Linked DNA regions of Arabidopsis thaliana. The protein of the gene in region 1 interacts with the protein of each later gene in a biochemical or structural test. Each region holds a gene or a part of one and is shown on either strand. Other genes may lie near its edges.

Evidence for each region.
Region 2: of the proteins of TEJ (region 1) and PARP2, one has a biochemical effect on the other in vitro, tested with the Arabidopsis thaliana proteins (one study listed by BioGRID).

The regions. Positions count from the first base shown.
Region 1 is NC_003071.7:13,545,708-13,561,439, reverse strand, and holds TEJ (Poly (ADP-ribose) glycohydrolase (PARG)), read left to right. Parts: upstream 1-7,596; 5' UTR 7,597-7,683; coding exon 7,684-7,926; intron 7,927-8,023; coding exon 8,024-8,209; intron 8,210-8,510; coding exon 8,511-8,614; intron 8,615-9,040; coding exon 9,041-9,218; intron 9,219-9,312; coding exon 9,313-9,417; intron 9,418-9,548; coding exon 9,549-9,667; intron 9,668-9,999; coding exon 10,000-10,143; intron 10,144-10,302; coding exon 10,303-10,447; intron 10,448-10,562; coding exon 10,563-10,760; intron 10,761-11,026; coding exon 11,027-11,089; intron 11,090-11,279; coding exon 11,280-11,441; 3' UTR 11,442-11,504; downstream 11,505-15,732. Other genes in the region: myosin-like protein XIF, read left to right, coding at 191-271, 395-477, 548-680; RAP, read left to right, coding at 1,725-1,848, 1,928-2,034, 2,269-3,901, 3,993-4,075, 4,272-4,340; SOBIR1 (Leucine-rich repeat protein kinase family protein), read right to left, coding at 4,595-6,520; PARG2 (poly(ADP-ribose) glycohydrolase 2), read left to right, coding at 11,968-12,216, 12,349-12,534, 12,710-12,813, 12,894-13,098, 13,214-13,318, 13,441-13,559, 13,668-13,811, 13,904-13,988 and 3 more; AT2G31862 (B3 domain protein), read right to left, coding at 15,146-15,670. UniProt on the Arabidopsis thaliana protein: Poly(ADP-ribose) synthesized after DNA damage is only present transiently and is rapidly degraded by poly(ADP-ribose) glycohydrolase. Involved in establishing period length of the circadian oscillator.
Region 2 is NC_003075.7:1,041,471-1,057,779, forward strand, and holds PARP2 (poly(ADP-ribose) polymerase), read left to right. Parts: upstream 1-8,295; 5' UTR 8,296-8,633; coding exon 8,634-8,717; exon of another isoform or gene 8,718-8,794; coding exon 8,795-9,056; intron 9,057-9,137; coding exon 9,138-9,283; intron 9,284-9,375; coding exon 9,376-9,457; intron 9,458-9,638; coding exon 9,639-9,874; intron 9,875-10,070; coding exon 10,071-10,200; intron 10,201-10,414; coding exon 10,415-10,470; intron 10,471-10,563; coding exon 10,564-10,637; intron 10,638-10,749; coding exon 10,750-10,796; intron 10,797-10,872; coding exon 10,873-10,922; intron 10,923-11,029; coding exon 11,030-11,092; intron 11,093-11,185; coding exon 11,186-11,266; intron 11,267-11,375; coding exon 11,376-11,486; intron 11,487-11,577; coding exon 11,578-11,653; intron 11,654-11,756; coding exon 11,757-11,899; intron 11,900-12,020; coding exon 12,021-12,094; intron 12,095-12,205; coding exon 12,206-12,311; intron 12,312-12,397; coding exon 12,398-12,490; 3' UTR 12,491-12,716; downstream 12,717-16,309. Other genes in the region: AT4G02360 (transmembrane protein, putative (Protein of unknown function, DUF538)), read left to right, coding at 1-173; AT4G02370 (pectinesterase (Protein of unknown function, DUF538)), read left to right, coding at 988-1,491; SAG21 (senescence-associated gene 21), read right to left, coding at 4,944-5,163, 5,264-5,622; AT4G02400 (U3 ribonucleoprotein (Utp) family protein), read left to right, coding at 12,773-13,039, 13,317-13,446, 13,535-14,016, 14,143-14,361, 14,448-14,762, 14,859-15,167, 15,255-15,335, 15,417-15,494 and 3 more. UniProt on the Arabidopsis thaliana protein: Involved in the base excision repair (BER) pathway, by catalyzing the poly(ADP-ribosyl)ation of a limited number of acceptor proteins involved in chromatin architecture and in DNA metabolism.

The DNA.
Region 1 (15,732 bases):
AGGATCTTAATATGACACAATTATCTATTAGTGGTTACTCCTGAAACACTATACAGTTGGATACATGAGCAAACGGGTGAAAGATCTTATGAAAGTAAAAGCATCTAGAGAATGACAAGATGGCATAACTAAACCATCCTACATTTCTACTTCCAGTCACTGTCCCCTGATTTGTTGATTTGTTGCTCAGGTACTAAGCATTCCACAAGTATATCGAATCGGGACTATGTTTTGGGACGACAAATACGGAACTCAAGGACTCTCCCCCGAGGTAAGTAATGGATCAACCTAACTAACTCCAGAAATTCTCTTCAAACACCATGAACCAGGATTGTATCCAAATTACACAAAACTAAGATTGGGCTCATGATCCAACGATTTGTGCCGATAATAGGTGATCAATCAGATGAGGAAACTAATGACGGAAGATTCAGCGAACATGACTTACCCTTCTTTCTTGCTAGACGTCGATTCAAGGTACGCAAAAAACAAAATTCTCGCTTTCTTCTCAGTTTCTCTCCCTAATTACTCTCAATGCATGTTTCAGCATTCCTTTCTCAGTGGAAGATGTTTCGCAATCCTTCCACGGCGGTAACATTAGCCTCTCCGACGTCGATCCATCGCCGCTTCTCCGCCAGCGATCTGATTTTCACTTCTTATTCCAGACATTGCCGGAATAAAGGAAGAGAAACGTCGGAGAGAAACTTCTCTGTCTCATAGAAGGTTACAACAGCTGAGAATCTTTTATAATTTATTAATTAAGCCACGAATTTTCCATATATTACAGAAATGGAAGCTTTTCAATTTTTTCTTTCAAATTTTTTTTTTCTGTCACATGAAGCAAGAAGCTTCTCCTCTTTTATGATTCCTTTAATTTTTCATTTGGTTTGGGGTTCTTTGCTTTTTATCACTTAAAATTTACATTGTGTATAGATAGAGTTTTGATTCATATCGTACATGGTATACTCGTTTTTGATACACATGATGTAATGAATATTATATGTGTTAATGTAATTGGATTTGTAAAATTTTGAATTTGACACAAAAGGAATATCAAAAAACCAATCAGTGCTACATTTGGTCCTTATTAGGATAATTTGTGGATCTACAATTTTTTTTCCCCTTTAAATATAATTTAACATTAAAAAAACACTACTTACTAATATAATGATTTGTATTAGTATTTTCGTTGATTCGTTGTATTACCATCTGAATTTAGATTCACAAAATGCATATTGTTGACAAAAAATGAATGTTGAGGTTTGTGCACTTCGGATTAGTACTTGATTCCATATGTGTATGATCAAAGCCGTCGACGAGACTAAGCTAATAAAACTTCTGTTTGCGGCTATTTTTTGATTATATACAAGATTAGCCATATTTTTAGCAAAATTATTAATGTAGATTAGTGGCAAAAGGCATGGTGGCATAGTTTGGGCATGGTGGCATAGTTTGAGAGTTTGAGTTTTTTACCTCTATTTTCATTAGTTTTATCAATTTAAATCATGATAGTAATATCTAAAATTATTTATTTATCCAAACAAAATAGTGGGCATGTTCTATAATAAGGCGATTTTTGAGGGATCACTAAGATAATTAATGGACATCTTTTATTAGTGCTTTGGTTTGAAAGCAAACTCGCTAAGCTAGCAAGAGGGTTTAGCTAAAACCCACTCTCTGTTAAAAATCACAGCACTGCCATTAAAATTCTCAGATAGAAGAAGATGGAGTGTGTAGTTCCATTCCGGCGATGCTTCTGTCTCAATCCGCCGGAGACACGCCACCGTATCGTTAACCACAACCACCGAAATCTCCATATTTCTCTCTCCTCCTCCTCTTTCGCATCAGGTCGTCATTTCATTTCCTCTTCTCTTCTTAGTCAATCAACCCAGCTTTATATCCTGACTCGCTCTTACGTCAATTCCAGGGATTTTGCCTCTTTCTAATAAGAAGTATCGATTTGTTGGTCCTCTAGCACAGAGGAGTTCCTTGCATCGCCGTACGGACTCTCTCAAGCACCTTCCTTTTTCCGTGGTTAGTTCTCAGAAATTTCGTTTTTTTTTTTTCCTTTTCATTTCAGAGATACTTGAAATTTTCATATAAGTATGTGAATGAGGAGTTGTTGTGGTTGCTTTTATTGATTTAGTCTTCATTTGTATGTGACTCATGATGTGGAAGGTTTTGGTCCTTTTGGATAAGGTTGCAGAAACAAATTTATCTGTGAATTCTAAGCTTGAGTGTTCACATATTGTCTTGGTGTTGCTTCAGAATGCGTCTGTGATTGGTAACTCGGAGGAAGAAGTGGAAGAAGAGGATGATGATGGGGACTGGGAAGCAGAGTTTCTCGGGGAGATTGATCCGTTGGATATTCAACCTCCGAAGAAGAGGAAAAAGCAGAAGAATTCGAAAGCGCTTGAGGACACTGAAGGGATGGATTGGTGTGTAAGGGCAAGGAAAATTGCACTTAAATCGATTGAGGCAAGAGGGTTATCTTCTAGAATGGCGGAGGTGATGCCATTGAAGAAGAAGAAAAAGAAAAAGAGCAAGAAAGTCATTGTAAAGAAAGACAAGGTCAAAAGTAAAAGTATTCCAGAAGATGATTTTGATACCGAGGACGAAGATTTGGATTTTGAAGATGGATTTGTGGAGGATAAGATGGGGGATCTACGGAAGAGAGTTAGCTCATTAGCTGGTGGAATGTTTGAGGAAAAGAAGGAGAAGATGAAGGAGCAATTAGCTCAGAGGCTATCCCAGTTTTCAGGACCTTCTGATCGTATGAAGGAAATCAACCTGAACAAAGCTATAATAGAAGCACAGACTGCTGAAGAGGTATTGGAAGTAACTGCTGAGACAATCATGGCTGTTGCCAAAGGTTTAAGTCCATCACCTTTGTCTCCTTTAAATATTGCTACTGCACTTCACCGAATTGCCAAGAATATGGAGAAAGTTTCAATGATGAGAACTCGTAGGCTTGCATTTGCTCGGCAAAGAGAGATGTCAATGCTTGTTGCTCTTGCAATGACATGTCTACCAGAATGTTCAGCTCAAGGCATCTCAAATATTTCTTGGGCATTATCCAAAATTGGAGGTGAATTGCTATATTTGACAGAGATGGATAGGGTTGCAGAAGTTGCCACATCAAAGGTGGGTGAGTTCAATTCTCAGAATGTTGCTAATATTGCTGGGGCGTTTGCTTCCATGCGGCATTCTGCTCCAGAACTCTTTGCTGAGTTGTCAAAGAGGGCATCTACTATTATCAATACCTTTAAGGGTCAAGAGATTGCTCAACTATTGTGGTCATTTGCCTCACTTTATGAGCCAGCTGATCCTTTGCTTGAATCTTTGGATAGTGCATTCAAAAGCAGTGACCAGTTCAAGTGTTACTTGACGAAAGAAATAACAAACTCTGATGAAGTAGTGGATGCTGAAGTAAGCGATGATGTTTCAAGATCTCCAGCACTTAGCTTTAACAGGGACCAGCTTGGAAACATAGCATGGTCTTATGCTGTTCTTGGGCAAGTGGAGCGACCTTTCTTTGCCAATATATGGAATACTTTAACCACCTTGGAGGAGCAAAGGCTTTCAGAACAGTATAGGGAAGATGTCATGTTTGCTTCTCAGGTGTATCTTGTGAATCAGTGCTTGAAGCTTGAGTGCCCCCACCTTCAGTTGTCACTTTGTCAAGAACTCGAAGAAAAAATAAGCCGCGCAGGAAAAACCAAAAGATTCAATCAGAAAATAACCTCATCGTTTCAGAAAGAAGTTGGACGCCTTCTTATAAGTACAGGGCTTGATTGGGCTAAAGAACATGATGTGGATGGCTACACCGTGGATGTTGCTCTGGTCGAGAAGAAAGTTGCTTTAGAAATCGACGGGCCAACTCATTTTTCAAGAAACTCTGGTAAGTGACATCACTCTGTTTCTTAATATATATTGGTGTCTGGTGGAGCCAACCCAAACTTAATGATCATTTCGACTCTTGTGTTCTACAGGACTACCATTAGGGCATACAATGCTGAAGCGGCGATATGTTGCTGCTGCTGGATGGAAAGTGGTATCTCTGTCTCTTCAAGAGGTGGGTCTATAACGTTGAAAAATGGAAACTGATATAAAATTGAGTTGCTAGGATAAGAAATTGTCTCCATTTTTAGAATACTTGTTCTGTTCAATAGTAAAAAGATCTCACATGCTCTTGCATAATTGATATGTTTTCCCATCTCAATCAGGAGTACATACTGAACATGTGTTGACTTTGTTTTTATTATTTTTAGTGGGAAGAACATGAAGGCAGTCATGAACAGCTAGAATATTTGAGGGAGATTCTCACCGGCTGCATATAGAGAAGACAAGTAACCAAACATGTAATGTGTTGTCATTTTAAGGTTGTTAATCAAGTGTTCTTTTCCGTTATGTATATAGCTAAGATTCTTATAGTAGATTGATGATTTATGTTTAGAGCAATAATCATAATTGAAATCCATTTAAATTTTACAGTCGCCATTACAAATTTCTGCCAAGATTGTGTTCATAGTTATTTCGTATGCAACAGGAATCTAGGAAATATAGATAGAAGCAAACAATACATATTGAAACACTAGTGCTTGATCTGGGACAACATGGTCCTGACATCTTTACTGTTCGGCCTCTGTTTTGGATCATCCAAAGTACAGTAACAGGCGATCTTCAGAACCAGAAGCATCTGTTCATCGAATCCTTGATCCATCAACTTCGGATCAATCGCAAGGCTAGGATTTTCCGATGTTATTATGTTCCTCATCCACTTTATCAGACTCATCTCGTCAGTATGCTGAAAAAACTCATCTGAAGGAAGCTTCCCAATCACCAGAATCCCAAGAATCACTCCAAAACTATAGATATCACATTTATCTGTGAACTTGTGGGTTTGATAAAACTCTGGTGCTATGTATCCCACAGTACCTGCAACATGCGAGGTTGTAATATGTGTGACTGCATCTGGCATTGCCTTTGCCAGTCCGAAATCTGAAATTCTGGCTTCCATGTCATCATCAAGAAGAACATTGGCTGGCTTTAAGTCTCTGTGAATGATTCGTGGGTTATGATCCATGTGAAGGTACTCAAGCCCTGCAGCTATACCTAAAGCAATCTTGTGCCTCGCTGGCCACATTAGTTCTTGATTTCCAGCTTGTACGTCAGTCAATATATCTTGCAAACTCCCCTTTTCCATGTACTCGTAAACGAGGTAGTGGCACTCGGGTCTTGACACGTGTGCTAACAATGGGAGAAGATTCCGGTGCCGGATATGGCCGACTGTGTTGATCTCGGATCTAATTTGCCTCATTTTCTTGTTCAGAAACTTGGAATCTTCATCTGTTAGTTCATCGGCGTCTTTAGGCGGTTGGATCACTTTCTTCACAGCTATGATCTTCCCATTGCTTCCTGGTAGTTCAGCTTTGAAAACTTCTCCACAACCTCCTCTTCCTATGATCTCCAGAGAAGCTAACGCTTCTTCATTCTCCAAGAAAGCTAAATCTTCAGCTTTCTTGATCAATGGGCTGAATATGGAAGGACCTGGTGGTTTTTCTGATCCTCTTATTGCTTGAATAATCAATTTGAACAACACCGAGAAGACAAACCCAGAGATTGTTCCTCCTATGGCTCCAACGACAAACCCTAAGATCCATGCCGCTACTTTCTTCTTCTTGCTCTTCTTCTTCTTCTTCTTCAACTTCCCTGGTTTTGGAGCTCCCTTTGGAGCTTTTGATGTAGTGCTGTTGTTGGGTTTGTTCGTGGGACTTGAAGTTGGAGTTTCAGCAAGAATGTGTCTTGTTTGATGTGGAGATGTCTGAAGCTTGATACTGCTCATAACCGGAGCCGGACCTTCCAAATACCGGTTTCCGGAGAAATCAAAGAACCGGAGATTGTGGAACGACACAATTTGTTCCGGGATTTTGCCTGAGAAGAGATTGTTTGCAACAGAGAGATTCTCCAGATTGCGTAGATTCTTCAAGAAATTCAAGTTCCCGGATAACTTGTTCGAAGAGAGATCAAGGATTCGAAGACGGCTCAAACTAGAAAAGTTTCCCGGAATCTGACCGGAAAATCTATTTTTCCGAAGATCAAGAACTTCAAGTTGCTTACAGCTTAAGATATCCACCGGAACAGCGTTGACCAACTGGTTATTAGACAAAGTAAGTTCCTTGAGCTCCGACAACATTCCGATGACCGGAGAGATAGTCCCCGTCAAGCTCCTGGATCGGTAGACGAGCCTCGTGACACGGAGAACGTATTCTCCGGTGGTGGCAGAGTGCCGTCTCTCGCAGAAAACTCCTCGGCGACCGCAAGGGTTGACATCACTGGCCGAAGAACGTTGACTGTTGACTCCGAGCTCTGTTTCGATGACCTGAAGAGCTTTGAGATCTGAGGAATCGATATCGAGCCACTCAACAGAGGAGACGAATGAAGAGAGAAGAAGAAAGGAGAGAACGGCGAGGATGAGAGGCCGGAGAAAGAGATTGGCGCTTCCCGTGGGAACAGCCATTTTAATTAGAGAAAGTTTCTTCTTGTGGATGTTGTCGGAGTCTACACTCTGTCTATTTATGGTCAGCAACTGGTACTAATCTATTGAGAAATCTTTACGTGTTTCGTGGTTTTTTTTTTCTTCTAAAACTTTATTTTTGAAGTGACAAAATATATTTGACCCAAAAAAAATAAAGTTACAAAATATATTCACAAGTTAATTTCTTAATATTGTTATACACTTATACATATAATTGGTAAACTTAAATTAACAGTTTGAAAAATTTATGGTTTGTTCAAGGGATCCATCCAAGCCCCGGTTTCATATCGAAAAAATGGGGTTTTCTATTGCTAGTATTTTATTTGATTAGTTTGATATTAATGATAGATTACTGAATTCTTACATAAGATCTCCTAACAAAATTGTATTTTATATTATGATATTTAGTTATCAATGGTTTTGGAGAAACATTGATTCAGCGTATACTTTTTGAATTATTTGTATATTCTTAATAAGAGTTCTGTTTTTAATTAAAGTCTAAAGAAGAAAAAACCATTATAAAAACTGATAATCCTGACCTGTGAAATGGGCTAAATTGTACATTTTTTTTTTGATTTAAATTCTTCCAGGAAGTTTTATGGGAAAATAATAAAGTAGAAAATGTGAATATAGAAAGTTGCAAAACTGTATTATTGATATAGCGAATTTTGTTATTGACTTGACTATGTAAGCGTTGATAAGTCAAAGTCTACGCTGTGGGTTCCATAGTGAGCCACCGTTTCCTACACGTTAGAAAAAAATAAATGTTATGTTACACACACCTTCTATTTTCCAGTCACTTTCTTTTAGCGTTTTCCGTCAATACGTTCGTTGTCTGTATCAAGATTCCAAACTGGTGAGTGTGAAATAACTCGAAACTGGCTTTTAACTTAAAATGAGTTAACCAGATAGCTAACGAGGATGTTATTGCCACTAAACCAATACATTACCGATATGGTTCAAGTTCCAACTTCCCGGTTCTACAAAACCGGTTTGCCTTTCGCCTTCGCACTCTTGACTTTTTTAGATTTTTTACTCCGGGACTTGAGTATCTTCTAGCGGCAGCAGAATCTTGTCGCAGAAGCGATTCGTAAACCTGTTTCAAAAGCAATTGAGAACAGCTGTGAGATTAGAAAAATCGAAAAATGGAGAATCGCGAAGATCTTAACTCAATTCTTCCGTACCTTCCACTTGTAATTCGTTCGTCGTCGCTGTATTGGCCGCCGCGTGTGGTGGAGGCGTTAAAGGCAATGTCTGAAGGACCATCTCACAGCCAAGTTGACTCAGGAGAGGTTCTACGGCAAGCTATTTTCGATATGAGACGATCCTTATCTTTCTCTACTCTCGAGCCATCTGCTTCTAATGGCTACGCATTTCTCTTTGACGAAGTAATTATCTCTTTTTAACTTTATGGTGATTGCTTTTGGATTTGAGTGTATCTTCAAATCGAATTGAGTAGTGGAACTAAGTTTTTGGTACTCGCAGTTGATTGATGAGAAAGAATCAAAGAGATGGTTCGATGAGATTATCCCAGCATTGGCGAGCTTACTTCTACAGTTTCCATCTCTGTTAGAAGTGCATTTCCAAAATGCTGATAATATTGTTAGTGGAATCAAAACCGGTCTTCGTTTGTTAAATTCCCAACAAGCTGGCATTGTTTTCCTCAGCCAGGTATTGATACAAAGTGCTATCTCCTACATTTGAGCTAAAGGTGTTTTTTTGGTTCTATTCCTGACTCTTGAGTAGTGATTTATGGGGAGGAAATTACGTCGAATATACATGTGTTCTTACTGGATGATTACCTTGTGTGTTGAAGATATAGTCTCTATGGATTCTTGCTTTTCTTACTGGATAATGACCTTGTGTTGAATATACATGTGTTCATACTGGATAATGACCTTGTGTTGTTGAAGATATAGTCTCTATGGATTCTTGCTTTTCTTACCTGTCCGTTCGAACTTCAATATTGCAGGAGTTGATTGGAGCTCTTCTTGCATGCTCTTTCTTTTGTTTGTTTCCGGATGATAATAGAGGTGCAAAACACCTTCCAGTCATCAACTTTGATCATTTGTTTGCGTATGTTACCTCTCTGCTTTCTCTTCTAAACCTTTCATAGTGATTAAGCCTACATTAGTCTGGTCTGGAAGAAATGCCTAATGTTAAAATGTCAGTCATTTGGCTTAAGTCATGAATGATCAAGCACGTATGTGAAAGAAAGGGAACCTTTAATATGTAATTTATTGACATTCACACTCGAGAGTGAGAAAGCAAATCCGCTAGAGAGCGCATATGGGCCTCAGTCTCCATTGGGAGTTCACTAGTTAGACTTGGATTAGCTTGTTGTGAGAAAAACCACATATTTCTATGATTCATTGGCTATCATGTGCATGTGAAGATTTTAATTCTGAAAATTCTTGTCTACCGTGCATTGAGTAAGTTTCATTTGGATTCTTGGACTTCGTATGCCCACAGTCTGATATCCGAGTTTTACTTGCTTTTCAGAAGCCTTTATATAAGTTATAGTCAAAGTCAAGAAAGCAAGATAAGATGTATTATGCATTACTTTGAAAGGTTTTGCTCCTGCGTGCCTATTGGTATTGTTTCATTTGAACGCAAGATTACCGCTGCTCCTGATGCTGATTTCTGGAGCAAGTCTGACGTTTCTCTTTGTGCATTTAAGGTGACAAATATTGGCTTGTGGATTTCTGTACCTTGTAATATTAAATCTGCAAATGCTTGTACATTACTTTTTGCTGACAGCTTTATTGTTATAGGTTCACTCTTTTGGGTTAATTGAAGATCAACCTGACAATGCTCTCGAAGTGGACTTTGCAAACAAGTATCTCGGAGGTGGTTCCCTAAGTAGAGGGTGCGTGCAGGTTTGAGATCATATTACATTTTAGATTTCACAAGCATACATGATTCTTGAGTTCATTTTTTTTGTCAAAAGATCTATTGTAAATCAATGGTTTAGGATTTTTCATTGACTTCCAATTGGATTCTTGTCCAGGAAGAGATACGCTTCATGATTAACCCTGAATTAATCGCTGGCATGCTTTTCTTGCCTCGGATGGATGACAATGAAGCTATAGAAATAGTTGGTGCGGAAAGATTTTCATGTTACACAGGGTGAGATTTGGTAGTTTTGTAGCATTGGTCTGTGTTTATTTAATATATTGGCTGATAAGTCTCTGTATTTTGATACTTTTACATACCAGTAGGCTCGTTTCAGATCAGTTTGTACAAATCCTGATTGAGGCATGTTGACAAATAGTAAAAGAAATGTACGTCTAGATTATTGCTTATATTGTAGGTGTGCTTCATAAATAAGGGTGATAACTATGTATTGCTGACTTAGAAATGGCCGATAGTAGTTGGCATCTAAATTATCAAGTTTTGAAGAAAGGTTAGTTATTTGTAGTTATTTACCTTTTTTTTCTATGATTTTTGTTTCTACCTAGGTATGCATCTTCGTTTCGGTTTGCTGGTGAGTACATTGACAAAAAGGCAATGGATCCTTTCAAAAGGCGAAGAACCAGAATTGTTGCAATTGATGCATTATGTACACCGAAGATGAGACACTTTAAAGATATATGTCTTTTAAGGTATGTGAAACCTTCTTTTGGGGATTCATAGGTTTTTCAGACAATCCACAGTTTGTGTCTATACAACATTTTGGAGTCTTGCTACTAAGTTCTTTCTATACTCTTCTATTCTCTTTCCACGTGAAATTTAATGTCTCCTCCTCTTTCTGCTTTTTTCAGGGAAATTAATAAGGCACTATGTGGCTTTTTAAATTGTAGCAAGGCTTGGGAGCACCAGAATATATTCATGGATGAAGGAGATAATGAAATTCAGCTTGTCCGAAACGGCAGAGATTCTGGTCTTCTGCGTACAGAAACTACTGCGGTTGGAATCATCCTACAAACCTTTAGTACCTTTTTTCATTTGTAGCCAATTTGAATTAGCTTTTGAAAAATAATGTTTCAACTTTTTTTGTTGTTCTCTACTGTTTCTGATGCAGTCACACCGAACTCCACTAAATGATGTTGAGATGAATAGAGAAAAGCCTGCTAACAATCTTATCAGAGATTTTTATGTGGAAGGAGTTGATAACGAGGATCATGAAGATGATGGTGTCGCGACAGGGAATTGGGGATGTGGTGTTTTTGGAGGAGACCCAGAGCTAAAGGCTACGATACAATGGCTTGCTGCTTCCCAGGTGCTTTTATACATCATCAGCTAAAAGTAATGAAATTATTATTTTCCTGGAGTATACAAGTTGAGTACCAGTAGGCCATAAGAATAAAAACATATAGATCTTTCTATGAAACCACAGACTTAGTCTGTTTTGACTGTAAGAAACACTCCATTGTCACTTTTGACTTAATTTTTCTAGAATGAACCAAAGCTTCGACTTGGATGATGAGATATATAGCGATTTTCATTTGATGCTTCTTTCTTAACTCGGTCATGGCTATATTTCAGACTCGAAGACCATTTATATCATATTACACCTTTGGAGTAGAGGCACTCCGAAACCTAGATCAGGTAACCTCCGATACTCTTTTAAACTTCACAATTCTAGAACCTCTCTTACAGTGTCTTCTTTTTCTCCACTGACATTTTACTTAGAATTGGGTTTGTAGTAAGCGGATAGAGCATCCAGGGTATAGTACTTTTAAGGTCGTCTGTGAACATATCTTGATTTTGAAACTGATACATACTCTTACAAGGATAGGTGACGAAGTGGATTCTTTCCCATAAATGGACTGTTGGAGATCTGTGGAACATGATGTTAGAATATTCTGCTCAAAGGCTCTACAAGCAAACCAGTGTTGGCTTCTTTTCTTGGCTACTTCCATCTCTAGCTACCACCAACAAAGCTATCCAGCCGCCTTGACTCTGCAAATTCTCCTTCATTAACTTGTTTGATGCATTCTCATACTGTATCTCTGCATTTTCCCACATGGGTGTGTAAAAGTGATTATTTTCCTCTTACAAGCTTGAATCCGTTGTAAGCTCGCCAGTTCTTGACCTCAAGCGTAATTAGTTTAGTGCGTTTGCTGATTTATGATTTTGGTCAAATGTTTGAATCAGGCTTTTGTTTTAAAGAAAAAAGTTCTTTTTGTTTATCAGTTGAAATTACAGGGTTATGCTGGAATCTTCTGGGAAAGTTAGTCCGGGAAAAGTTTATGGTCCACCAACATTTTGTTGTCAAGAGTAAATTTGACTCGGTCTTTCTGGAAAACGTGTTCCTGATTGACTTTGGTGCCATCTGTTAAAAAGAAAAATCAAATGGGTTTCTTTGTCCTTAAGCTACCAACGGACTAAGTCATATAGAGATACAACATCAAATGTCCATATCCTTAAATCATTTGCAAACTTTCATCTCCTAAGTTTTCTAATCTCCTTTTCAGGCAATAAGGATGGAACTGAGGGCAGATCTTAGGTCAATTCTTCAGTATTTGCCTCTTGTGGCTCAGTCTTCATCACTAGTTTGGCCACCTTCTGTCGAAGAAGAGCTCCAAACAATATCTAGAGGACCGAGTGAGTCAATGGTTAACTCGGGAGAGGCTCTTGCCTTGCATATCACGAATATGCGGAAATCTCTCTCCTTGAATGCATCTGATCTCGCCCCTTATGCATTACAAGGGTATGGTCTTTTCTTTGACAAGGTAACAATTCCTCTGTCCTTCTTTCATCCACTTTCTTAGTGTTTTGTGTTTTTCTTATTCATTTTACTCTTAGGGGGAACATTTGTCATGGAGCATAAAGTACTCACAAAAAAATTTCTTCTTGTGATGCAGAAAATTTCCAGAGAAGAGTCGGCAAACTTTTTTGGTGAGGTGGTTCCTGCATTGTGCAGATTACTTCTCCAGTTACCTTCCATGTTAGAAAAACACTATCAGAAGGCAGACCATGTTCTTGATGGAGTTAAGTCCGGGCTTCGTCTATTAGGCCCTCAAGAAGCTGGAATTGTGTTACTTAGCCAGGTATACTCTTTCAGTCCAAACAAAGACATGCCTTGTGTTGCATTGAATTAAAGATTGATATAGTAACTGTCTAGTACTCTTTGTAAATGAAATTTTGCTTGATTTTTGAAACCAAGCTTCGTTCCTTTATTCTTCAACTTTTTCACCCCTTGATGTATTTTGCTACCTTCTGCAGGAGTTGATTGCAGCTCTTCTTGCGTGTTCCTTCTTTTGCTTGTTCCCTGAAGTTGACAGAAGCTTAAAGAATCTTCAAGGAATCAACTTTAGTGGATTGTTTTCGTATGTGTCTTCATCATATTTCTTAAAAGTTACAACCATATATGCCCCAAAGTCACAAATCTTTCTTGTGTTTTTTTAAGGTTTCCGTATATGCGTCACTGCACGAAGCAAGAAAACAAAATAAAGTGCCTTATCCATTACTTTGGAAGAATATGTCGATGGATGCCCACCGGCTTTGTTTCATTTGAGAGGAAAATTCTTCCACTGGAATACCATCCTCACTTTGTTTCTTATCCCAAGGCTGATTCGTGGGCTAATTCTGTCACCCCACTTTGCTCCATTGAGGTATCATAGAAACACTCCTAGTTAAGCCTTCTTCGCCGTTGAATCCATTTCTTTCAGATGATTCATGAGTATGCTTTAGGTTATTCTCCTTTTGATCCATTTTTTATTGGAGTAGATTCACACCTCGGGAGCTATAGAAGATCAACCTTGTGAAGCTCTTGAAGTAGATTTTGCAGATGAGTATTTTGGAGGCCTTACTCTGAGTTATGATACTCTACAGGTCTGACTTGTACTTCCTTTTCTTCCATCTCTTCTAAAAACTCTACTATCTCATCCACTAAATAAGTTATAAGTTTTTCTTATTTCAAAATATGTTGAACATGTCAAAATATACCTATGTAGGAAGAAATAAGGTTCGTGATCAACCCGGAACTTATCGCTGGCATGATCTTTTTGCCTCGTATGGATGCAAATGAAGCAATTGAGATTGTTGGTGTTGAAAGATTTTCAGGTTATACAGGGTAAGTACCAATGAACTGAAGTAGATGTGTTTATTGGGTCTTCAAAGTTGATATTAAGCTTATTATATAGTCTTCTCTCTAAATCCAACTCATGGTGGCTCCATTCAGGTATGGGCCTTCGTTCCAATATGCTGGTGATTACACAGACAACAAGGACTTAGACATTTTCAGGAGGCGAAAAACAAGAGTCATAGCTATAGATGCCATGCCTGACCCAGGAATGGGACAGTACAAACTTGATGCCCTCATTCGGTAATCAAAACTTGTCTTTCAGCCAGTTTTTCATTCTTTCCTTTTTTTTATTTTGTTTGTGAATTACTCAATTGCTCCTTTTGTTTCTGTAGAGAGGTTAATAAGGCTTTTAGCGGATACATGCATCAATGTAAATATAATATCGATGTTAAGCATGATCCTGAGGCATCATCTTCGGTAAGACCACAATTATGCTCCATACATGAATTTAGCATACATGTTAAGCATTTTGTTTTTCTTGACTAGACCAAGATTAAATTTGTTTTCGCAAAGCAGCATGTTCCTCTTACATCAGATTCTGCGAGCCAAGTTATAGAAAGCTCTCATAGATGGTGTATCGATCATGAAGAGAAAAAGATTGGTGTAGCTACAGGGAACTGGGGCTGCGGTGTGTTTGGAGGTGATCCAGAACTAAAGATCATGCTTCAGTGGCTTGCCATTTCACAGGCATGCTTCTCTGTTTTCATCAACTTATCTTACAAAACATAATTATCATTCTATTTAACTGCGAAAACAATCTCGATCTACTTTCTCTAGTCAGGAAGACCCTTCATGTCATACTATACCTTTGGCCTCCAAGCCTTACAAAATCTCAATCAGGTTATTAGAATCCTAATTTATTAAACAATGAAACCACTCTTTCTCCCATTTCAACACTTTAAAAACATGCTCTATACATATATGTGTGGGTGTTCTTTCAGGTGATCGAAATGGTCGCTTTACAAGAAATGACTGTAGGAGACCTATGGAAAAAACTAGTTGAGTATTCTTCAGAGAGGCTCAGCAGAAGAACATGGCTTGGCTTCTTCTCGTGGCTCATGACCTCACTGTCTACCTAGAGTAAAAATTGAGTCAAAGTTATATAAAATACTATTCTTGTCTGAATTATGGGAAATGTATTATCCATATCTCTGTTTGTTTCTGACATATTAAGTCTAAAGCGTTAGATTGCTAATCCATTGTAGTGAAGTCAAATAATACTCATGATATAAAGTCTTTATGTAATTTGGTTAGTTCCAATCTTACGAGGATTATATATCTTGTGAAACAAAGGTAAGTGGGAAATAAAACTTGCCAAAAACAAACATCATCCGTTCAAACAGAAAGGAACGATATAGGGAATGAAAATCAGCACACTCTAAAACAACAGCACTCAGACTGTCTACACTAAGACCATTAACTAAAAACCAGTACTCAGAAAATTGAGTTTAAAAGACCAAAAAATAAAATAACACCTAGATAAAAAGAACAAAAATCCTAAAAAACCATCTTCGAGAGTCTGAAGAAAACTACTTGCAAGGCATAAAAAAAACCAAAAAACCAAGAGAAACTAATCACATAACATAGCTGTTTTTGCCAGGAAGTGACAACCGGAGCTCGAGGTCCAGCTCTGTGTCCGAGACTAGTGAGCTCCTCCTATTTGCCTCTTGTGAAACCTCGAGACAAGTCGTCTCCTCGGACACTTTAGCCAATAAATTTAGGCACTCCCAATCATTATCTGCATGAACTGGAAGTATTCTGTCACCCTCTTCTTGAGCATCAGCATGAGATATATATAGCTCGTCAGAATCTCTAGTAACAACCGGAGGCGAAGATGGAGTTGGAGCTGGAGCCAGAAGGATAGCCAGAGTTGGAGCTGGAGCTGGATCCAGAGGAACAAGAGCAATATATAGCTTGGCTAGGGAGTGGAAGGACCAGAGCCGAATCCTCTGGCCTTCAATTAGAGTGTTATCGGAGACGACCTTTTTCCATCTTGAAGCCAAGACGTAAATGGAAGTGGACCTCATATTCCATCTCCTGAGATTAAGCTCAAGTAACTTGTCCACGATGTGGCACATACAAGAAAGGTTAACCCACATTTTTGAATGGCTTCCATCATTATAGATTGGACTGGGCGTTTCTTCGGTTCCTTTCGGTTCTT
Region 2 (16,309 bases), on another chromosome or scaffold:
GTGTTAAGGTTCTTTTCTTCTGGGTTAATATTGCTGAAGTGTCTCTTGACGGCGCCGATCTCGACTTCTCCGTCGGAATCGCGTCGGCGAGTTTTCCGGCTGCTAATTTTGAAGAGAGTCCTCAGTGTGGTTGTGGGTTTGATTGTAATAATGGGCTTTTATTTTCTTCTTGAATCTGTTGGGCCTTGTGTTGTACTGAATAAAAAATGCCCTTCTCTTATGATTGGCTTATGAGTATTGATTAGTTAATTAATAAATTGATTAATGTATGTGTATGATTAGTTCCTACCGAAAAAGCCCTTCTCTTTCATGTCAATTTGAGCTTTCCGAGACCGAGACTATTTAACCATTTTTGACTTTCTATTTAACATTAGAATTTTTTTGAAGTTTTTACACCAAAATAAATAAATTTAAGCGACCATAAAAACAAGAAAACTGGTCAAGTTAATTTATCTTCTTTTTTCATGGAGCAAAAGATTAATGTTTATACAATTTTTTATAAAAATAAGAGTTCGAATGGTGACTGTATTTTGCCGTGTAGGAAGAGAAGTACTGTACAGTTCAAATAATAACGAAAATATATATATATATATATATATAAAGATTTTAATACTGTTACAATACTGTTGCGGTGCAATTTTGAGTATGGTCTATATCATTATTCATAGTCTAAATTATATACAATTTTTTTTTGTCTTTTTGTTAACAAATGTCTTGATAAAATTTAATTCATGATTATCTAAGAGAACTTTTCCCAAAAATTTGTCTTATCACTACAACCTGACTGCCTGTAGAAACTAACCACGTGTCCAGTTGTCTACCTAAAACGGCGTAGTTTATATCTAACAAAAGATATTTTCAACGACCACCATTATTACAAAAAGTCTACGACGGCAAAACGAAAATCCACAGGCGGAGAAATCAAAAAACCAAAAATCCAATCTTTGGATTCTTACTTCTACGATTTGTGTGTTTCCTCAAACCCAAATGTCTCGTCTCCCGATTTTAATCGCTTCGTGTCTCTTCCTCTCTTCACTCACCGCCGCCGTCGTCACCGCCGCCGAATCCGATACTCCGACGGCTTATTCACTCCTCCAAAGCTACAACTTCCCCGTCGGAATCCTTCCAAAAGGAGTCGTAGCTTATGATTTAGACACAACAACAGGCAAATTCCATGCGTATTTCAACGATTCATGTAGCTTCAATCTTGTTGGTTCTTACCAATTGAATTACAAATCAACAATCAGTGGTTACATCTCCGAGAACAAGCTCAAGAAATTGACTGGTGTTAAAGTCAAAGTTTTGTTCTTGTGGCTTAACATCGTCGAGGTTATTAGAAACGGTGACGAGATGGAGTTTTCCGTTGGGATCACATCGGCGAATTTCGCGATCCAAGAGTTTTTGGAATCGCCTCAGTGTGGTTGTGGCTTTGAGTGCAAGGATTCGAAATTGGACATGATTGAGAGAATCCCTTTTCTTTCTTCGTCTTGAAATTGAAAAAGGTACAATCTTTTTTTGTAATTTGTCCCCAAAAAATCTTACCTTTCGAAAAGATCGCATCTTTTATGTATTGTCCAATAATATGAGCGTAGTGTCTGGAATTTGTAATTGTTTACTTTAGTTCTATTTATTGGATTCAAGTTCTGTAATGGTGAAAAGAAAAGATACTGAAGGGAGATGTGAACATTGTGAAGTGAACATTTGTAATCTTAGATTGAATGTTTTCATTTTTGTTCATAAGGTCCTTTACTCCTTATTTGTATTGATTTGGTTTGGATGTGCTGGGAATTAGGATGGAGCTGCAGTTAGTAGGTTAGAAGCCATCTAGTTTTGGAGATTGAGATATTTGATCTTGGATAGGATTGAGCTGCAGTTAGTAGAATAGAATCTATCGATCATTCGATTTCGGATGTTACTCTTCGGTGAGAAGAGAATTAGCTTGCAGATGTTAGAGATATGTAGTGAAGATTTTATTGGTAGAGTCTGGTGCTTTTGGGGTAACTGTGAAATGTTTCATCTGTTTTGGGAGGAATTAGATCATGGTTCTTTGAAGATCTACACTGATTCCTATAATACATCATACCATTGTGTCGATGATCGATATTGGTCTATGTGATTTACTAACCTTCATAGGCTTGAGAATTGAGATAGTAACATGAAATGGGAAATGTCACAATAACTCTGAGCTATACTGATTCCCCTCGTTTGAGATAGATGTCTACCGTTTGAATGTAGATTGAATTACAGGTTATAAATCACATTCTTTTGTGTAAGGTAATATTTGATTGCTGACTAGAACATAAAAAGAGGGTTATGGAGATTTTAGGTAATATTCTTGTTCTTCTTCTTCTGGTGGGCTTTTGAGAAGAAAGGTTTTAAATTAAAAGCTTAATTCAACTGAACCGGGTTATGGATCGAATAACCGGTTATAGTTTCGGGCCTTTAATGCTTAAACTTAATCCCCGTAACTCGTAAGGATTCATAGTTCATACATCTACGTTATTATTACAGTTTTGGTCGTGAACCATTCGTCAATGGATCTGAAAGGACAAATAGGAAATCAACGAATGTGCACAAACATTTATTTCCGGTTAAGTCCTTTTAAACCGGTGACGTCGAGCTCTTGAGAGTTGATACTGATGGCAGTAAAGAGAACAATTTCGTTCTTTCTACCATATGCGACCTAGTAATGGTAATGACGTAATGAGACAGTTCTGTGGGAGGCATCACCTTATACATGTCCTTGTCAAACGAATTATGCAGGCATCGAATAGAAGTCGTGTCTAGCAAAAGATCATTAACTAAATAGAAATATCAAATTAACAAAAATAGTCAACTATCGATGACTTTTCACTTTTGGAAGAAAAGAATATAGAAAGTCTACGAAGCTTGTTCATCCAACTCCAATGTATATTTCTGATACGCATAGGAATTTACAGGTAGCAATAGTTTTTGCAGTATGAAAATAACACTACGTACATTCATTATTTGGTAACGATTTTTTTTTCTTTCTTTAAATTAGTACATGGTATAATACAAAACAACTATTTTCTTCTCGTGAAATATCTAGCATTTATTAAGCCTTTAAAAGGTTCTAGAACATAAGTTAACGTTACTCGTAAAATATTTTCAAACTTCTTTTTTCGTTTGTCTTTCTAATTTCAATGCATGGTATTATGAAGCTATAACAAACATACGTTATTAGGGTTAGGTATTAAACTAAAGGCTGACTTAGTTTTGCCAAATTTTTCAGTATGTTTACAAATCGCAGGGATGTAGGATCATCTTATGTCTAGTCGTTATCTAAACATGTGCGAAAACTTATCTTTAAGTATAAGGAATATACCAACTTTTTATAGTTTCTATTCCATTGTTTTTGAACTACTAGAATTAGTATGTCTACATCCAAATGACTTGTTAATATGCAAATAATGATTATATGAAATGATTAGATACGAATTGGCAAACAACTCAAAAGAATAAAGGAACATGTAACAAAAGAGATGACTCAATTATTTATGCATTTTATAGTCAAGTAAAAGAAAATTCAATGCTAATAGATTCGATGCACCAAGTTGCCCTCTGTCAATAAGTCTCCCTCAAGTCTCAAAGCCTTTGAGCATAATTGACTCTTCAAAAGAAGACAGGACACGTCTTATGTTTCTTTGCCCTTTTGAATTCTTTTACTTCGCCTTCAAATATCTCTTTTTTCTTAGGTTTTAATTTGAAAATGGATTTATCCAAATATATTCATATAGATTAGATATTGTTAAATACTAGTTTTGAAATTATTTTATCAATGATGATTGAATTAATTTTCCAAAAACATAAGAAATAGTTTTTGTTCCTTTTCTCCATATACCTTGTGTAAGAATGAAAACAAAAAAGGAATGAATAAGAGGATCAGGATTCAGGACAGAAAAAGAGAAGAAGAGAGAATCAAAAGTGTGGTTTGATCTTTGGGTCTCATTTAGACGTGTGAAATAAATACTTCACTAAGACAAAGATTTAATAGTTTACCCTCACTAAAGAAAGTAACTAAATAACTAAAATATTTTGTAATCATTGATCAATGTGTGATTAGAGATGGACACGAAGAGTTCAACTTAAGATGTCTACTAAACCTATTAACCTAACATACACTTGTAGTATAAAATATAGTAACAGGAACGGTCGAAACTCCAGAGGTACAAAACATGTCTTTAAAAACTGATTTAAGTTAATTAACTACATTATTAAATGATTTCTATGTCAAGTACCTGTTGCTAAATGCACTGCCACTAATTATAATCTATTACTACTAACAATTAGTAGTAACCAAGAGTCAAGAGACATGATTCTGTCGGTTATATCCATGCAAGGAACAAAACCATATAATTAAGAAGCTTTATATGTTGATCCACTACCATGAATTCCTAATGCTTATCTATGCTTATGCTATATGCCAATATTTTTTAAAAGTCCAATTGTTCATCATTACATTCCTTTTAATACGTTATCTCATACGTTAATTAGATTATAATTATAAAAAACACACATACGATATTTGAACATTTTCGTATGCCAATCAAATTGGAACGATACAAAGAAAATTATCATACCTACTCATCACCTATAGTTACATTATGATTCTGAATCAAAATAACCAATAATGGTTTTGTCATATAGGACGTTTGTACAAACGTTAAGCAATAAATTTATCATACAGAATTCTATAATCAGAATTCTGTAATCAGTTAAGAAGTTCTGAAATGGTTTTATAAGAAAAACTCTATCATACATCCAACGATCCTTTTGTTACAATTAGAGGAAACCAAACGCTTCTCTATTTTATTCATTACAGAACCGCACTTAACATATGAAAATAGGGTTCACTGCACCAGATCATTACCCACTAATCTCCTCTTAAAGACCTTGACAAAATTACATGTAATAATAATCAATCACTGCTTGTTGTTCAAGAGAGCTGCTCGTAGCTCAGCCGCGTCAATCTCGTTGGAACCGGTTTCGGGTCTGTAATAACCGGTTTTGGGATCTGGAACCCAAGAAATCTTCTGGGTTGATTCTTCCACTCCCTTCTTCTTCATCACAGCCGAAGCAACAGCTCCACTTCTTCCACCGCTCGAAACGCTCCCTTGCGCCGCCGTGGCCGCATAACCACGTCTGTTATCACACAAAAAACGACACCGTTTAGAAAAAAACAGAGCATAACTACAAGAAAAAAACAGAGCATAAAGTAGAAAACAGAACAATAGAGACTTACCGGAAGATAGCATTGGAGAGTTCACGAGAGACGAAAGCAGATACGATCTTAACGTTAGAGATAGAACGAGCCATTTTCGAAGTAAGTGGTTTCTTGAAAAGAGAGAAAACAGACTTTTTATTCTTGTAGCTTCTTGTCGCCGCCGCAGAAGGAGAGATATATCCGAGGAATGAGATAATTATACTGCGGCAACGAGATTGAAGAAAGTTGGTATCGTCTGTGTTCTCTCTCTCAAGGCTTTCGAAAATGGTTTGAAGAGATGAGAAGAGAGGAAGAGGAGAGGAAGGTTTATATAGGAGAGAGTGAAGGAAGAGAGGAAATAAAGGAAGTGACTCCGAAATTGTCTTCTCACTTCTCATAAACGGCTGCGTCAATTCTGGCCTTTGAGTCTTTTGACCCATAATTAGCTTTGCTTTTTTTATATAATTAAAGTCAAAATTGGACTTTTTTTTTTTGTTTAAATATAGTTAGATTTTAAATGTGTGATTTACAAGGGGAAATTAATGTTTTATGTCAAACAAAAAAAATCAATGATTTATTTGAAAAATGCAAACTTTCAGAGTTATTATCCAATATTTTTAGTTGAATAATATTTTTTCTGTTCTTTATTATTTAATTTTTTAGAAAAAAATTTGTTTCAAAAAGTTAATTTTTAAAAAGTTTTTATGCATTATTTATTAGTTATTATTGATAATTTGTAAACTTTAAGATAAATAATTGAATATTATTAGTTTAAAGTTATAAAAAAATATAAATTACAAAAATTAATATATTTATGATTAGTTTTAATATATTTTTTTAATCTGTGTTTTTTTTTAGAAAATTAATTATAAATTTAATACGATTTAAATAATTCGGTTATATTTTGAAAATTGTAAAATTAAATCTTAGTAAAACCGTTGAAAATTTGTGTTTCAACTTATTTTCCATTACTTTCTAATTATAACGTATTACAAAAAAAAAATTGTATTATACGAACGGTTCAATGATTGATGCTCATCTACTATAAGTAGACGTGTGTAAAGTAGGCAAAGTGAGGTTCGAATTATAAAATGTGTTTAAGCATGTCAAGATGCCATTTGTTAAAAGTTTATTGACTAACTTGCGTGTACTAGCCGTCCATCTACAATACAAAAATATGTTATAGCCTACAATAAATGATAGTATGAAAAATTAAATAGCACTATGATATTTTGAGGCGGTGGAGTTTCTATTGATTGGTTATCGATGACCACTTGCATCGTCAAATGGTTCTTTGATTCGTGGTTTCGGCCCCAGCTTCATACTATCACGAGACTCGACCATCTTGTTTTTTTCTTCTTCTTCTTGGTAAATGGTTTCACAACTTGGTTCCTCTTTCTTTCATTTTATTTTATATACTATCATAGCATTTTGGTTGGATTTCTCGAGATAGTATATTTTTTAGTTACTATCATTACATAAGTATATTTTAAAAAACTAATTATATGAATTATGTAGCTAACTAGATAGATAATCGTATAACCAATTCATGTTAGTATAGTATAGTTTAAGTATGTATTTTGGGATTACAAGTGTGGTTGGCATCAAGACAAGGATGGTGATAGCCTTTCTCTGTAATTTGGTTTAAGAAAAGTTTTTGCATTTTATGTATAAACGTGTTTTTTTTTTATAATTTAAAATTTCAACAAAAAACAATTTTTTTTAATAATGATTGACCACTATAGACAATTTAAATGATAAAAAAAACCCCCAATTTTTCACAATGTTTTGGAGATTAGTCTAGATTTTTTGTCCAAATTTTCCGATTGTAAGAATTAAGAAGCAATGAACATTTGTGTTAAGCTTAATGATTTGTACTCACAATATCTTTTAAATTTAAAATTGTTAACCAAAATATCCTATATATTGTACTTGTAATAGAAATATAAACTATTAAAAACAACACTTTATTCATATAATATAAGTTAAAACATATGTTTTTTTTAGTATGTTCTAATCACACCTATTAAAAAAAGTTGAAGCTAAATGAGCCAAAAAGAAAAATAAAGATAGGGGATGGGGACAGGCTGTAATGTTAGGCGGTTGGTATATGAACTGAGAACATGTCTGTTGGTTCGGTCCATCTACACCACTCAACCATTTGGCTATGTTTTCTTTTTGGCTTTTGCATGTTCTCTCTACTTTTCTTCTTTGGTCAAAATCTCTATCTCGTCTTTTACATGGCTTACCCGAATGTTAGTTGTCATGTAAATTTGGTTATGAAAAGATATTTTATATAAACTTTATCGTATATTAATATCGTTATCATCTAACCATTTTTTAAAACTAAACTAGAACCATCCAGTTTTACAAGAGTTTTTTTTTTTTTTTTTCTAACTAAATAATATTTGAAGTGTACAATATTAACAATATATGGGCCAAATAATAGTGGAAACCAAATCGTTAGTCCCACTTTATGATGGGCCTGTTGATTCTTATGTCTTCTTCGTAAGTTGTGATTATGCAGATTACGGGCTAATAAACATGCATGTTTAGTTTTTACTGTCCAAGTAACGAAATTTTATCTTTTGGGTTGTTGGCCCATTTCATATATTCCAAATGCCAAATCCAGCCCGGCTCGACACAGCACTGCTCGGCTCAACACTCGTATGCGGTTGGTAGCCACTTAAGACCTTGGTTTGATTAACATGTTACGAATAATTTGTGTCCCTTTTTCTTCAAGGAGACTAATCTCTTTTAATAAAAAAGAATTGTGTCATTAGTCAACACAAGTCCTATAATCCGTTTACGGTAATTTGTATGCACGTCCTTGGAAAAGTGAGTAGTGGCGTAGCATTACAGCCAAAAACTATTTGTATATTTTTCTTTTCGTTAAACAACCAGCAAAATTTTCAGAAAAATGTTCTTAAATTATAAATTAGTAGTACATTTTAAAACATAGAGATTTTTTGTTTCTTTTAATAGAAGAGTTAAACCTATGTACAAAATTTCAACTCCTTTTCAAAGTATTTGCCTGTTACTAGATTTTTAACCTTTTTTTTTTTATCTTTCATGATTTTCTATTGCTTGCCATCATCAATGGTAGGAAATAAATACTATTTTAAAAAGGTCAGGGGTGGATTTAAGAATCAATCCAAAAGTTTGGGGTCTTTTGGAGATTAAAAAGTTATATGGGAAATATCCACAAATATGAACGAGAACTTTTGTCAAAAAAATTTAAAATAATTTTTCAAAAAGCCCTAAAGCTTTCAAGGGAAGCCATCGATGAAGAAGAAAACGAAGAAGAAGACTCTTCAAATGCTCGCGCGAACTCACTTCTGACGAAAACCATACTTCCTCAGTCTCATTCCCTTTCCGACGAACTATTCTCCTGAAGAAGAAGACGAAAATGGCGAACAAGCTCAAAGTCGACGAACTCCGTTTAAAACTCGCCGAGCGTGGACTCAGTACTACTGGAGTCAAAGCCGTTCTGGTATTTCTCTGAATTGCATTGAAATACTCTTTCTATTTTGTTGATATTCGAATTTGTTTATTGGGTGTTTCGTGTAGGTGGAGAGGCTTGAAGAGGCTATCGCAGAAGACACTAAGAAGGAAGAATCAAAGAGCAAGAGGAAAAGAAATTCTTCTAATGATACTTATGAATCGAACAAATTGATTGCAATTGGCGAATTTCGTGGGATGATTGTGAAGGAATTGCGTGAGGAAGCTATTAAGAGAGGCTTAGATACAACAGGAACCAAAAAGGATCTTCTTGAGAGGCTTTGCAATGATGCTAATAACGTTTCCAATGCACCAGTCAAATCCAGTAATGGTTTGTTCAATTCTCTGGACTATTGAGAAATTTGGTAAAAATTGAGTCTTTTTAATGTTGTTATTGTCATTGTGTATTAAGGGACAGATGAAGCTGAAGATGACAACAATGGCTTTGAAGAAGAAAAGAAAGAAGAGAAAATCGTAACCGCGACAAAGAAGGGTGCAGCGGTGTTAGATCAGTGGATTCCTGATGAGATAAAGAGTCAGTACCATGTTCTACAAAGGGTGAGGATTTGGAACCTAATCTTGAGTTTTTGCATCTTATCGTGTTCATGAATGTTGTTAGAAACTGTTTCTTTTTTTGTTGAATGTTGTAGGGTGATGATGTTTATGATGCTATCTTAAATCAGACAAATGTCAGGGATAATAATAACAAGTTCTTTGTCCTACAAGTCCTAGGTCAGTCTTCCAAAACCTTCAACAATAATTTCCCTGGTTACTTTCCAAGATTAATGAGACGATACTTGTCTTGTTCGAGTACTGGAAACCTCTTGAAGCAGCTTTTGATGACTCTTTGTCATTCTTCTTGGTTCCAGATACTATCATCATTGATCTATCTTATCTATTGTGCATTGTGCAGAGTCGGATAGTAAAAAGACATACATGGTTTACACCAGATGGGGAAGAGTTGGTGTGAAAGGACAAAGTAAGCTAGATGGGCCTTATGACTCATGGGATCGTGCGATAGAGATATTTACCAATAAGTTCAATGACAAGACAAAGAATTATTGGTCTGACAGAAAGGAGTTTATCCCACATCCCAAGTCCTATACATGGCTCGAAATGGATTACGGAAAAGAGGAAAATGATTCACCGGTGAGTGTTTTGGAATCCTCACTTCTCTTTCTCTTCTTACTATTTGTTGTGTGGTATGATCCAAGGGATCTGCTGGAATGAGGTTTTTGAGTGCATATCTACTTTTCTTTTTCCCGTTTAATTGCAATTATATATTTTTTTTCTCTTCGTTCAAATGTGCACTTTACTCAGAGTTCACGATTGTTTTTTTTCTCAGGTCAATAATGATATTCCGAGTTCATCTTCCGAAGTTAAACCTGAACAATCAAAACTAGATACTCGGGTTGCCAAGTTCATCTCTCTTATATGTAATGTCAGCATGATGGCACAGCATATGATGGAAATAGGTTTGAGTCTAACTTTGATCACTTCATTCAAGTGAGAGCATCCATTGGCAGATTAACAGTGATTTTTATATGTCGATACATTATCTCTTTGTTTTGGTGTCCTATTACCTGCGTTTGTACTTCCTATCTTTTGTCCTATCCATTTGTTTGCCATTTTGCTGGTTTCTTTACTTCTTGCTGATTTTTCATACATCTTCTAAATTTGGAATTGAAGGATATAACGCTAACAAATTGCCACTCGGCAAGATAAGCAAGTCCACAATTTCAAAGGTAAAGATAGTAAACAGTCTGTTTGGTCTCATTTCCGTAAATTATAGTTTGGTGTGATTTCAGATGATATAATCTCCTCTTCCACATGTCTAGGGTTATGAAGTGCTGAAGAGAATATCGGAGGTGATTGATCGGTATGATAGAACGAGGCTTGAGGAACTGAGTGGGTATGTATCTGGTTAATTGCTAGACAATTTTTCGCATTTAGTTGATTATGTAACTGTTTCCCATAAAGAAATTAGATTTGAACTAGTCTAACTTTGTTTATCATTGATGCAGAGAGTTCTACACAGTGATACCTCATGATTTTGGTTTTAAGAAAATGAGTAAGTTCATCTGTGCTAAGGTTTACGATATATATAACTAAACATTCACTAACATCTGAATTCCGAGCTGTAACAGGCCAGTTTGTTATAGACACTCCTCAAAAGTTGAAACAGAAAATTGAAATGGTAATTTTTCCTACTGTTTCCTTACTTGACTAGTTTTGGTCTTCAGAAAAGCAATGGTTTGTCGCTACATGTTTTGTGTAGTTTTTAATATATCGTTTTTTTGTAAGGTTGAAGCATTAGGTGAGATTGAACTCGCAACAAAGTTGTTGTCCGTCGACCCGGGATTGCAGGTAATTCAGTCAGTCTATGTGGTTTGAAGGCATGAAATCACTCCGTCGTATAGTTCTCTAAGAATATGACATTATTTTTTGCAATGGCTGTAGGATGATCCTTTATATTATCACTACCAGCAACTTAATTGTGGTTTGACGCCAGTAGGAAATGATTCAGAGGAGTTCTCTATGGTAAATTTTCGGTTTTGTGAACTTTGAACAAATATCTTTGATACTCGAGCATCTCAAACATGTCTGTGTTTTAAACCTTTTGGTGTTTACTCCTTAAAACCAAAATCAGGTTGCTAATTACATGGAGAACACTCATGCAAAGACGCATTCGGGATATACGGTTGAGATTGCTCAACTATTTAGAGCTTCGAGAGCTGTTGAAGCTGATCGATTCCAACAGGTATGTTATGGTATTTCGAGCTTGTCAGTACCATACACATTATTCTGATTTCTCGTTTTTGGCATTGTGAGACTTTAATTTTTCTTGGCAGTTTTCAAGTTCGAAGAACAGGATGCTACTCTGGCACGGTTCACGTCTCACTAACTGGGCTGGTATTTTATCTCAAGGTAACATGTTACTCTTTTTCCTCTTAGTAACTACTTTTTTTCTTCTCCTCTTGGGGGATTTTCAATTGCATAGTAAAATGAACAACTATGAGACACCAAGCAGGTCTGCGAATAGCTCCTCCTGAAGCGCCTGTAACTGGTTACATGTTTGGAAAAGGGGTTTACTTTGCGGATATGTTCTCCAAGAGTGCGAACTATTGCTATGCCAACACTGGCGCTAATGATGGCGTTCTGCTCCTCTGCGAGGTATACTCGCTTCTTGTCTCTATTCATATAGAAAACAACAAAACTACTGTATAACTACAGGACCTCTATAGCCATTCAACATAACTATCCTTATGTTTCCTAACGATAAAAACTTCTCTAGGTTGCTTTGGGAGACATGAATGAACTTCTGTATTCAGATTATAACGCGGATAATCTACCCCCGGGAAAGCTAAGGTATGAAGATAATCTCATTCATATTTCACACAAGTTCCTTATCTCAAACCGCAATGAATTATGATTTACTATTTTTGTACTGTACCTTGATTTGTTATTTGATGGTTGCAGCACAAAAGGTGTGGGGAAAACAGCACCAAACCCATCAGAGGCTCAAACACTAGAAGACGGTGTTGTTGTTCCACTTGGCAAACCAGTGGAACGTTCATGCTCCAAGGTTTTTGTTTTTGTCTTGCTTCAACACACATTCACAAAATCTAACTCTCTCAAATTTCATAAACTGACTTTATATAACTTTTGCAGGGGATGTTGTTGTACAACGAATATATAGTCTACAATGTGGAACAAATCAAGATGCGTTATGTGATCCAAGTCAAATTCAACTACAAGCACTAAAACTTATGTATATTAGCTTTTGAACATCAACTAATTATCCAAAAATCAGCGTTTTATTGTATTTCTTTCAAACTCCTTCATCTCTGATTTTGCACGGTTCACTCGTATATTGGTACGCTAAACCGCAAACCATACCCAATTTTATCCGGTTTAGTTGGTATGATTGAGAAATTCTTATTCTCTGAAACTCGATTTTATTAGTATTTAAGCGAAAGAGAAGAAACCCTACGAAAATCTCAATCGGAAACTAAACGGCAAAAAAAAAAAAAAGCAGAGGCAGCCATGGGAGAAAAGAGAAAATCTACTTCGAAAACCCTAGCTAAGAACAAGAAGAGGAAAGGTCCTCATTTGCCTAATTCAATCCTGAAGACTATTGCCAATGAGAAACGTCCTTTGAACTCTGACGAAGATGACGATGAGATCGATTCCGACGATGAAAACGTCGATTTGTATGAGTATGAAGAAGGTGTGCCTGAGGAAGAGTCTAAGAAAAACAATCGCTATGACCGCGTCGATAACTACGACTACGAGCTTCCCGAGGATTTCGAGGTTTTATTCTTTCTCTTCACTAATTCTCCGCCACTGTGTGAAATTGCAAGTTTTGAACTTTAGTGATAAGAAGATAATCTACAGATTTTGGTTTTAGCTCAATTAGGGTTTTTGCTATCGGGATTCTTACGCTATAACAAATTGGTGAATCCAAAATTGAGAGTTTTTAATTGATTGATTGGTAATGAGATAGTAACTTTAGATCTGGTCTTGGCAATTGTTTTGTCCTTGTTATATGTATGTCTTATTGATAAAAGTGTCTATGATCTCAATATAGGATGAAAATGTGGAGTCAGATGATGATGAAGATGGTGGAAACAGCGAGAATGAGGAAGGTGAAGGTGATGACGATAGACACACACGGATGTTGCAAGGTCTCACTGGAATGCCAAGTGCTGCCTTTCAAGGTAAAGACTGAGTCTTTCTTCTCAGATTTTTGCTATTAGCTTTTCTGTTCATTGCATTTCTTGAAGTTTTTTTTTTTTTTGTTTACAGAAGAGAGTAAGAAGAGACCTGTACTCTATACTGAAGCGTATCCAGAGTCTGAATTCAATCCTACCCGTGATGTTCTGGAGGGTAAAGGCCTCATCTCAGTTGAGGACCTTTTGGCGCCTCTTGAAGGAAAACCTGGGTTTAACGATCTAAATAAGAGGATCAACCGGATGCAGAAAGATACTCAGTCTGTTGTTCATGCACCTTTGCCTAAGCCAGAACGAGAAAGACTAGAGCGGAAAGCTGTGAAAGGACTAGTTGAGAAGGACTTTAATAAGTGGGTGCATCTGGTCAAGAGGAATAGGGAGGCACCAACTGTTTACTTTAATCAACCTGTCAATGTTGGGTATTCTACAGTCGGTGCAATAGCATCAGAGTTTCAACCCAGGACTGAATTTGAGAAGAAAATGGCTTCTGTACTCAAAGATAACGAGCTTGGGGAGGCTCACAAAGAAGATGGCGCTAAGCTTCTTGAATTGAATGAGGCAAGTTCTGTGCTCTAGTTTTTTCCTGCACACAGCTTATTTGACTTATAATAAAACCTGGCTTTGGTTGCCTTGAAGATAGTTTATATATCTGATGTAACCTTTTCGATTAACTTGATCTGGCAGGTGTCGATGGAAGACCACATCAAGTACCGTGACCACATTGCCAAGATGCGGAGCCTGCTATTCCGCCATGAACTGAAAAGTAAACGTATCAAGAAGATTAAGTCTAAAACTTATCATCGCCTTAAAGGGAAGGACCTGAAGAAATCAGCGATGGGAGCATTAATGGACCCAGAAATGGCTAAAGAAGAGGCTATTAAGCAGGAGACTAGACGAGTAGAGGTGAGTCTAAAATTTCTTCTACCTGCACAAAATTTCTCATCAAGACACTGTCGAGTAATACAATAGTCTTGTTTGCGGTCATGAAGGAACGGATGACTTTGAAGCACAAAAACACAGGAAAATGGGCCAAACGCATGTTAAGCCGTGGACTGACTGAGAGATATGATGGAACTAGGGCAGCTATATCTGAACAACTTCAGATTAATGCTACTTTGTCCAGAAAGATGAACTCCACGAACGATGGAAGTAGTAGTGATGAGAGCGACGATGAGGAAGAGTTGAGTTGTGGTTCAGATCAGGATACTCCTTCTAAATTGATAGCGAAAGCCAGGGAGAAGACACTGAAAACTATGGAAGATGATGATGTACCCAATTCTGGTCTTCTTTCATTACCTTTCATGGTAATTCTTGCTTTACTTCCTCAAAGCATTTTTGATTATCTTACTTTGGATTTCCTTCATTCGTTAGACTCTGTCTGATGTTTTTTATTTGATTAGGCTCGTGCTATGAAAAAGAAAAATGAGGAAGCTAATGAAGAAGCTAAACGTGCATTTGGGGAGTATAAAGAATTGGAGAATTTTGGTGGAGAAGATAATCCTAAAAAATCCGCTGATGTTAGTGGTAGAAGAGTATTTGGTGCCACCTCTAAAGTCGAAGCTCCAAAAGAGTCTAAAAAGGACTCGGACAATTTTTATGACAACAGTGATAGTGACAATGATATGGAAGGTATAGAAAATAATGACCTTGGGGCTGTTGGAGATACTGCTTCACCTGCTAGAAACACTGGAGCCATAACAGAGACCGAGGTATCATTGGTTTTCCTGTTCGATTAATCACAATGGTTCTCTCTTTGCTCCTTATCAACTCCCTGACAACAATTTTTTTGTTTGTAGAAGTGTTGTGGTGATGTTGAAAATCCAGCTTCTAAGACAACATTTGATGTTGCCTTATTTGCGTCAGGCTCTTGGAAGAAGGTTTGCTTTGACAATTTTCAAATCAGACTTGGTTTCCGTTTATGTTTATCTTTGATTAACTTGTTTTTCTATGTTGTGTAGATGAAAGGCTCCCAAAATGCAGAATCCAAAAAAGCTCCAAAGACTCGTGTACCAATCTCAAAGGGCCAAGATAAAAAGGTTTCATTTCTTAAAACTTCACCTACCTTTTGTTTTATCCTTTTCTTCTCCTCACTTCTTTGCATTGAAGGAATCGAGAGATGAAGAAAGTGAAGATTCAGAGAGTGAAGCTGAGCAAATGGTTGATGGGATTTTGACATCTGCTTCGAAGGAGACCTATGAAATCCCTTCTCAAGCAGAGCTTATACAACGTGCTTTTGCTGGTGATGACGTTGTAGAAGAATTTGAGAAGGATAAGCAAGAAGTTCTAAATCAGGAAGTTCCTGAACCGGAAAAGCCGGTTCTAGTTCCTGGTTGGGGACAATGGACCAATGTCCAAAAGAAGAGAGGTTTACCTTCATGGATGGTTAGAGAACATGAAGATGCAAATAAAAAGAGAAAGCTAGATCTCAAAACAAGGAAAGACTATCGTCTCAGAAATGTTATCATATCAGAGAAAGTCGATAAAAAGGTTAGTGTCTCGCTTGATATCCCGATCCCTCTATTCGTAATCATCCCTTCATGCTCACATTATCTGTTTTTGACAGGCTGACAAACTTCATACAACGACTCTACCTTTCCCATATACATCTAAGGAAGTTTTCGAACACAGCATGCGCATGCCTATAGGACCCGAGTTTAATCCTGCGACTATTGTTGGAGCTCTCAACCGACCCGAGGTTCCTTTTTATTATTTGTTAAACTCATTGCACCATGTATTAAAATGTTACCTTTCTTTTGACCTCGTATAACCTTTTTGTGTGCAGGTTGTGAAGAAAGCTGGTGTGATAATTAAACCGGTCAAATTTGAGGAAGTGAATCCAAACGAGAAAGCA